Linked DNA regions of Sus scrofa. The protein of the gene in region 1 interacts with the protein of each later gene in a biochemical or structural test. Links are inferred from orthologs where the notes say so. Each region holds a gene or a part of one and is shown in the gene's direction. Other genes may lie near its edges.

The links.
Region 2: the proteins of SH3RF1 (region 1) and AKT2 form a complex in vitro, tested with the Homo sapiens proteins (2 studies listed by BioGRID and IntAct, with this or other methods). The link is inferred for Sus scrofa from reciprocal best matches to the Homo sapiens genes SH3RF1 and AKT2.

The regions. Positions count from the first base shown.
Region 1 is NC_010456.5:20,419,193-20,423,628, forward strand, and holds the start of SH3RF1 (E3 ubiquitin-protein ligase SH3RF1), read left to right. Parts: upstream 1-1,425; 5' UTR 1,426-1,558; intron 1,559-2,971; 5' UTR 2,972-3,066; coding exon 3,067-3,459; intron 3,460-4,436. UniProt on the Homo sapiens protein: Has E3 ubiquitin-protein ligase activity. In the absence of an external substrate, it can catalyze self-ubiquitination. Stimulates ubiquitination of potassium channel KCNJ1, enhancing it's dynamin-dependent and clathrin-independent endocytosis.
Region 2 is NC_010448.4:48,603,115-48,607,662, reverse strand, and holds the start of AKT2 (RAC-beta serine/threonine-protein kinase), read left to right. Parts: upstream 1-1,473; 5' UTR 1,474-1,650; intron 1,651-4,548. UniProt on the Homo sapiens protein: Serine/threonine kinase closely related to AKT1 and AKT3. All 3 enzymes, AKT1, AKT2 and AKT3, are collectively known as AKT kinase.

The DNA.
Region 1 (4,436 bases):
ACCTCATTGAGTGTCACTCTTCCCTGGGGAGGACACACACAGTGTGTTCAGGTTTGCCTGAGGTGACCTGAGAAAGAGGAGCTTGGGGTGGTGGGAAAAAAGCTGAACTTGGGATCCAGGTATACAATTGCATCTTGGTCCAGCCTGATTGATTTTGTGACCTGGGGATAAAGTGATCCTATTTGAGTTTTGGTGTTAATAACTGTAAATGACACATAATAATATTTATCTGTTTAATGCCTGTAACCTTCTAATAAACCTCCCCTCCATCCACCTGCTGGCGGAAACTAGAGGTGTGTGGGCTAAGACATCACTTTCTAAGGGCCTTGTTTGTAGATTATGGGTTAAAAATGCTCTGTTCTGCTCATTGCTCCCCTTGTGTTTCTCAGCTCAAATGTACGTGTTCTAATGGAGGGGACGTGGGATGTCCTTTCTGGCATTGAGTACTGGCTGTGAGCATATTCATCCAGGAGAGCAAAGCCGGGGAGGGACGCATATGGGGGTGCAGTGAGAGCTGGGCTACTCCACCTGGCTAGCAGGTGACTGCAGACAGTGAGGGAGCCATCACTGTACCTGTCACAGCCTTTCCTTTCTCAGGGGATTCTCATTTGTCTTGAATGCTTTGGCTGTGGGCCTGGCTGGAGACCCAGAAGATCACTGACTCCCTTCAAGGTGTCAGGTGCATTGGTGGCCTGGCAGCAGCTCCTTTAAACGGGTCTCTGTCACCCTTTCTCCTTATTTTCTGCATACGTTAGAGGACGGGTATGTGGGATAACTTTTTGTTAAGCTGATGGTAAATGCAAATAAAATGACAATTTTGAGATCAATGACAAAATTTGAGCCCGTTTGCCCTTTAAACTGAGCCTGAGAAACGATCGCCCAAATCTGTGGACGTGTTTTTTCGAAGGACCTTTCGTTTACAGGTGTGTGCCCAGCTTTACAGGTGTGTGCCCTCCCCCCCCGCCCACCGCCCTGCCCCGGAGGCCGTGGGGCCGGTTCGGGCCGGCCGGGCTGGGGAAGGGCCGCGCGGTGCCCGGAGCCAGGCTGACCCCCGGGTCCGGGGCGGGCCTCCCACCGACCCCGCCTTCCGGGTTCTGGGCCGACCCCCCGGACTCACGCTTTGGTCTGTGGCCGGGGTCGGGGCGGAGCCCGCTCCGCCTCTGCGGACCCCGCGCGGCCACCGCGTCCCCCTCTCGGCAGCTCTCGCAGCCTCGGCGGCGGCCGCCCCTCCCCTCCTCCTGGGACCTCTTCCCGGGCCGGCGAAGCCCAGACGCGGGAGGCTGGCGGGAGGCCTCCCCTGCTCCTCCTCCTCCCTCTCCGCCCTCCTCCCTCCGCCCCCTCCCATCCCCCTGCTCCTCCCCCTCCCATCCCCCTGCTCCTCCCCCTCCCATCCCCCTGCTCCGCCCCCTCCCCGTCCCTCCCCTCCTCCTCCCCCGGCCCGGCAGGCGGCGGCGGCGGGAGCGCGCGGTTGGCGAGCAGAGCCCCGAGCGGCCGCGGCGTCTGAGGCCGGCGAGCGGGAGAGCGCAGGGCGTGCGGACAAAGAGGGCGCCGCGCGGAGGTAGGACCCCGCCCCCGACCCTCGGCCCCTAGCCCCGCGCCCCCGGCCCGGGCTGGAGCGGGGCGGCCCGCCCCGGGTCCCTGCGGCGGCGCGCGCCCCGGGTGCCCGGCGGACGGACCTGGCGACGCTGGGCTGCGGGCTTTTCCAAGCCCCCGAAACTTCCCGCGGGCTTGGGCTCCTGTCCGGCCGGGCCCGGGGGCGGAGGCCAGGCGGCGGATGTCCCCACCCGGCCCGGCCCTGCCCTCCCCTCCCTTCCGCTGGCCCCAGCGCGGGGTCTACGGGGGCGGCCCCTGCACCAGCCCCGGGGCGCGTCTACGCCGGTAGTTCCCGGCACCTGGCCCCAGGCTGTCTATGCGGGCGACCACTGCACCATCCCTGGGGCGCGTCTACACGGGTGGTTCCCAGCACCTGGCCCCGGGGTGTCTATCCAGGCGGACACAGCACCAGCCCCAGGGTGTTTATACGGGCGGCCTCTGGCACCTGGCCCCGCGGTGTCTACGAGGCCCGCCTCCAGCACCTGGCCTCGGGCGCGTCTACGCCGGCCGCCCAGCACCTGGCCCGTCGTCCATAAGAGGCCCCCACCCCGGCCCGGCGTCCACGCGGGTCCGCAGTACCTGCGGCGAGCATAGGGGCGGCCTGGCCCCCGCCCAACCGTCAGGAGTGGCCGTTCCTGCTGTCGGCCACCCGGTTCTCCTGGGCATGTCTACATATAACCGGGGGTGGAGAGAGCAGTGCAGGGTCTGGTTTAAAGGCTTTTTCCTGAATGGCCCCATTTTCTTATTATGCTCACGATTCCCAGTACAGCATTCCATTCTCAAATTCTTTGGGTGATAATTTTGCCAGGTTTTCTGAATGGGATTAGCACAGGCTGTTCAGAAATGGTTTCAGAGTTTGTCAACCGCTGCCCGTTTCAAGGCCAGACTTAAGTGCGTCCTTTAGAATTGTCAACCTTCATCTTGTTTTGGTTGGGCAAGATTTAAGTCTTAGGACCAGTGAAGAAACATATGTATTTAATATTGGGATCACTTGCCAAAAGCGAATCACACCAGAGTGGTTTCTTAATCACTAAAGTGGCTTAAATATTGGGCACCTGGTTGGATTTGAAAGGAATTTCAGTTAAAGGCTCACTTTCTCATGCCATTGGAGGACTTTATACAGGCAGCAGATAGCATGTTGAGAACAGAGGAAATTGTTACTGCATTTCATAGATCCTGTTTGCTGTAGGGATGCTCAATGGGGTTTGATAGCCATTTCTGCACAGGAACCTAGATATCTTTACAGGTTAATTTTGAATTGCTTAGAAAGCCTATTCTGTGTTGAACTGCTGACTTTGGAGTACACTTTTGGTTCCTGGCTCTTCTGTGATGATCATAGGACTTTCTGTCTTCTCTTCTTGGGCTGTGACGACTCCAGAGCAGCGTCTGACATGGATGTTACATGAATCGCTCTCAGGGATGCACATGACTGTGCGCGCTGCTGGAGCCGTTTCCTCGTTGAATTAGGTGAAGATGGATGAGTCCGCTCTGCTGGATCTTCTGGAGTGTCCCGTGTGTCTGGAGCGGCTCGATGCTTCCGCCAAGGTCTTGCCCTGCCAGCACACGTTTTGCAAACGCTGTTTGCTGGGCATTGTGGGTTCCCGAAACGAGCTCCGATGCCCTGAGTGCAGGACCCTGGTTGGCTCAGGCGTGGAACAGCTCCCCAGCAACATCCTGCTGGTCAGACTTCTGGACGGCATCAAGCAGAGGCCTTGGAAACCTGGCCCGGCCGGGGGCAGTGGCACCAGCTGCCCAAATGCAGCGAGGGCTCAGGGCAGCGCTGGGGCCAATTGCAGCTCGAAAGACATCCAGGGCTCCCAGGGGGCACAGCAGCCAAGGGCGCAAGCCTGGAGCCCCCCAGTGAGGGTGAGTAGACCGCGACCTGGTGTGGCGGTGGCGGTGCTGATGGTCATCCTTATTCTTTGTTCTTTAACTGCATGTTTTCTGAATCAGCTCATGGCTAAAGAAGTCACACTTACTGGAACAGGTAGGAAATAATGCCTCAGGAATTTTTTTTTTTTCGTTTTGGAATGAGCTTGGATTGAAATTGGATACATTTTCTTGTTTTTAAAATTCTATCGTGGTGGTTGGTTTCTATTACCTGTTAAGTTAAATTTTGGGAGACAATGGCAATTATTCAATGAAATCTAAAACACAGCTGTTTTTTATGCTGATTTTAAAATGAAGATTTGGTGTGGTTTTACCTTTTTGATGGAGATGGGAGAGCCATGATTGTATGTGTGTGTGTATAGCTATGTATACATGTTATAAATATATGGGTGCATAAATCCTAAGGAGGAACTTGAGCTTTAATTTTTACGTTGCTTGGAGCCATTCTGTTGGTTTTATGAATGCACAGCACAGAATTTTCTGGTTGGAGGAATTCTTAACAAATCATGGCCACAGGTAGCAGAGTTTTGTTGCTGTAGCAACAAAATGTCATTGAGAGCTGAGCTAAGACAGCAGAGAATCCAGCTTTTTATGTTGGGTTTATAGGGAGTGAAATGAATTGTTCTCATCAAAAAGCTTTTTCTTGGGTTTTGGGTTTTGGGTTTGGGCTGAAATCATTTTAAGTGAGGCTAATATCTGGACAGTTACCACAACTTCAGTTTCTGGAAGGTAAGGTATTTTGTGTCAGTCTCAATTATGCTGCGGGGAATGGCACCCCACTTGTTTTTGTCAACAGAAAACATTGTTATGGACATTAGATAAAGCAGTTCCAATTTTGTTGTAAGAAACTATTTTGACCATTGGCCAAACTTATAAAATCCATTTTTGAAGAACTCTGAGTGAGAAGATTTTTTTCAAATATTCATCGTAAACACCCCAAAATGACTTCTTTT
Region 2 (4,548 bases), on another chromosome or scaffold:
TGATACCAAAAAAAAAAAAAAAAAAAAGAGTTCCCCTCATTGGCTTAACGAACCCAACTAGGATCCATAAGGACTCAGGTTCGATCCCTGGCTTCGATCAGTGGGTTAAGGATACAGCGTTGCTGTGAGCTGCGTTGTAGGTCGCAGACCTGGCTTGGATCCCGTGTTGCTGTGGCTGCCTGAGGACCTCCCTATGACACGGGTGCAGCCTTAAAAAGACAAAAACAAACAAAAAACAACCCCTCCCAAACAAACCCACAACCAAAACCAAACCAATGAGTGTTGTTCGCCCCCAGACTAGTATTTCTCAAACTGCATGACCCATTAGTAGGTCAGAAAATCAGTTCAGCAGGGTCTCAAACAACACTGAAAGAAAAAAAAAAAAAAAAAAAGAAATATCAGAGTGCCTCTTACATAAGGGTAAGTTATGCAGAGTTCCAAGATGGAGACCCAGCATGGATCCAAGGACTAGTTCCAGCACCAGGTCTACCTTTGGAGAAACTACCTCCGGGGAAACTACCTCCACTGAGCAGAACTTGCCTGAGACACTCTCACAGACTTAGGTAGACCCAGGATTCTTCAACTCCCAGCCAGGCCTTCTAGAAGTATACACTAACCAATGCATACTTGCCAAGCTGCGTAGTATTACTGGAACGCAAATTCAGAAGGTAGGAAGCCCCACCCAACCTATGAGAGGGAGCCAGATGTTTTAACAGCTTCCCCGGTATACTAATAAACGGGCCAGCATCTGTGCAAAGTTTTTTTTACAAGGCGATTTTAAGGCCTTGGTAAGCCCAAGTTACCCTGTAAAAAAGTTATATCCCATATTTAATTGCGTACATATGTCGTGCAAATAGGATCTTAATATTCTGGAGTCATAGCATGTCTAATTGATATAAATCATTCTGTTTACATAAAATAGCCCCATAGCCCAGAGACAGGGCTATGATTATTTCCATTTTGCAGATGTGGTTACTGAGGCACAGAAAATGGTCACAGTCACCGGCAAGGAAATACAAAGCTGGGTTTCTGTGACTTCAGAATCTGTGCTCAACCATGAGAGGCTATACAGAAAAGGAATCCCTTTCTAACGCCCGCTCCCCGGCTCGGAACCGGGACCAGAAGCGAGAGCAGAGTAAAAAGAGATCAAAGCCTATGTAATTAAGGACCAGGGGCTGCCGGGAAATATCACAGCTGTAGCCTCCAGGGAAAGCAGGCGTCAAAGTCCTATTGAGCATGCGCAAATTCTAGCTCGCCTTTCCGTCTGGCGCACGCGCGAGGCACATCCCTTAACCACACCGCCTCAAACTTGCCTAAAGTACGCAGGCGCCCGGCTCTGAATCCGCCACAGCCCCTGCCCTGCGCTTGCGTTCTTGCGCTCCCCGAGTCCCTCTCGCCTTCTCTTACGTCAGTTCCTGTTTGTGGCGGGAGAAGGCGGTATTTCCGTCCAAAGGGTGGGAGGGGGCGGTAAGCGGGGGCTGGGGGAGGGGGCGGGGGGGCCGCGCCGCGCGAGCCGTTGGGCCTGGCTCCGCGAAGGCGTTGCTGTTGCCGCTGCCGCCGCCAGGAAATACAGGGAGAGGGATCAAGCGCAGCGTGGCGATGGGCAGGAGTAGAACCCCGCCAGAGGGGCTGGGCGGCCGCCGGTGACAGGTGAGTGCGCCAGCGCGTGTCCCCGAGCGCTCCCTGCCCCGCGTTGGTCGCGTCCCGACCCCCCGGAAAGCCGCGCTGGGCCGAACCACCGGTACTCTCCGGGCGGGAACCGTGGTCCTTAAGCCCCCCCCTTCCGGGACTGAGTGGGGGTGGCTGCGCGGGGGCGGCTGGACTAGCCCTGAGGGGGCGGGGGCGGAGAGCTGTACCACCGAAGCGGCAGGCGGCGCATATCAAAGTGCGGCGACGGAACCACGGAAGGGCTGGGGGCGCAGACCCCAACGTGTCCGGGCTGTGGGTTGAGTCAGTGGGGTTAGCGGGGAGAGCGCGCCCGGCGTGCGAGAGCTAAGCCTGTGAGGGGGCGCGTAGCGTAGGGGGCTGGACCTATTCGGGGCTGTGGGAACAGCTCCTAGAGCGTGTTTAGAGAGGTGGGGGCTTCTGGGGAGGGAGCGCTATCAAGTGTGGCTCGGGGAGCGCCCTCTGGGTTGTACCACTGAGGTCCCGGGGGGAGCCATCCTTAGAACGTAGAGCTGAGCTGTATCAAAGGAGGGTTGTGATGTTAATCTTGAGGGACCACGCGGGGCGGGGGGACCGCGGCAGTACTTGGGGAGCGCTGTGATGCTGGGTGATGAGGAGGGGGTTCTGCCTCCTGTGTTTGTTGGGTGGAGCCTGGGGGTTTACACTGAGCCGGAGAAGGGAGGATCACCCTTTATTGAACTTCTTACTGACTTTGGGGAGAATTGGATGGTCAGTGGGACTGCTGTCTACTCTAGAACCTTTTCATGATATTAAACCTTATTTTAAGGTGTGTGGGACACCTCTGTGGCAAATTCTTCCCGTGGTTTTGGCGGGGAAGGAGGAGGGGAGTTATCTTAGAAGCCACTTAAGTTTTTCTGAGCTTTTGGCTCCATATTAGGGAGGGGAGACGATATCGAGCTTAGATTTGAGGTTTTGTGCCCCTGGGCCTGCTTAAGACTCGAGAGGAAGGAGTTTTTGAGGGACACTGCTCCCCGAGGGTAGGGTGGCTGGGGACATCTTTATCCTTGGGATTCTGGGGACCCCTTGCCTCTCATTTGGGAGCCACTGGGCTCAGCAAGAGCCCTGGGCTTAATTAGGTCGTCTTTGGTCTGCCTTTCAACTTTGTTTACTCTTCCCCTCTCAGAGAAGCATTGCGAGCCTTGCACTAATAGTGGTTGGTGGTGGATGCCAAGGGTCCAGGCACTACCCAGGCCCCTCCATTCTGGCCATAAGGCCACACACACATGTTTGTGTCTCCTTGGTCAGCAGTCCAGCCGCCCATCATGTTTACGCTCCCCACCAGGCGATAACAGTTGGCTTCACCATTAGGCGGCAGTGAGGCTGAGTGCTGTTTTCCCAGCTGTTCCCCTCCGCAGAGGCCAGGCGGACTTGGGCGGGAGTGCCCCTGGCCCACACCAACCCAGAGAGGAAGGCTGCTCTGAAGGACTGGGGGCAGCCAAATCCCCTATGGATCTAGTTTCTCGCTGTGGTTGTTGGGGGGAGCTGAGCAGCTAGGCCCAGTCGTGAGGCCGCTACCCCTGCTCCCCTGGTGAACTTGTGACCTTGGCTTGCTCTGTCACCTTTGCCCTGGGTCTGGAGTTCCCAGAGGGCTGGCCACAGTCCCTGATTGACCCAGCTAGTGTGGGCTGGTGATGCGGTCAAAGGAGGCAGACAGTCCCTCTGGTCCACACCATTGGCTTCCAAGCCAACTGGCTTCCATGGGTTGTTGCTGGAGAGAAGGGTCCCTGAGTCTCTGAGGCCATGGTAGCTCTGTAGAATGTTTCTACTCTAGGGATTTGTTCCTTGTTTCTGCTGCCTTTTAGAGGGTTTGCCTGATGGGGTTAACAGCAGCAGTAAAAGCAGTAATCATGAGATCAATGGCTGATCTTTATTGAGTGCATTCTGTGTTCCACATGCTATTCAGAATGCCTCACATGGATTAACTTGCTGAATGCTAACATCCTAGAGCTTTGGATACTGTTGTCATGATCTCCATTTTAGAAGGGGTGACTGAGGCACAGAATGGCAAATCATTTCCAGAGCTGGTGATTTTTTTTTTTTTTTTTTTTTTTGGCTGCACCTATGGCATGTGGAAGTTCCCGAGCCAGGGATTGAACCAGTGCCACAGCAGTGACCCAAGCAGTGACAGCACTGGATCATTAACCTACTGTGCCACAAGGGAGCTCCTAGAGCTGTGTGAATTTTATTCGACATTTCCCGTATGTCAGGCATATGACAGACCTTTTATACACATGACCTCATTTAAATCTCAAAACACACCCATAGGGTAGGTATGGTTATGCCCACTTTACAGACTCCGTGAGCTAGGTAGAAGTGTGTACCCATTTTGGGGTTCCTGTGGCTCAGTGGTATCCATGAGGACGCGGGTTTGATCCCTGGCCTTGCCCAGTGAGTTACCATGAACTGTGGTGTAGGTCACAGATGTGGCTTGGATCCTGCGTGGCTGTGGCGTAGGCCGGCAGCTACAGCTCCAATTCAACCCCTAGCCTGGGAAATTCCATATATTATGCTGTGGCCTTAAAAATTAAAAAAAAAAGGGGGGGGAATTGGGGTTCAGAGGAGAAGTGGCTTTGTCCTAGGTCTCTCTGATGCTAGAGGGCCAGGCTGGGGTCTGAAGAAATTTTTTGTTCACAACATCCCAATCTGGAATGGGGTCTCTTGCGTTGGACCCTGCCAGCTGCACCCTTGAGCATTTCCTTCCAACCCTTGGAGCCTTGGGCTGCCATGAACACATCTGCTGGCAGCCAGTCCAGGAGTTCTGGGCCTGCTGATAAAACTTGGTCCCTTCTCAGAGTTGAACCAGGGCATCTTTTAACCTGGGGCAGAGTGTTTCCAGGAGGAAACAGTGGGAGAGACATCCAG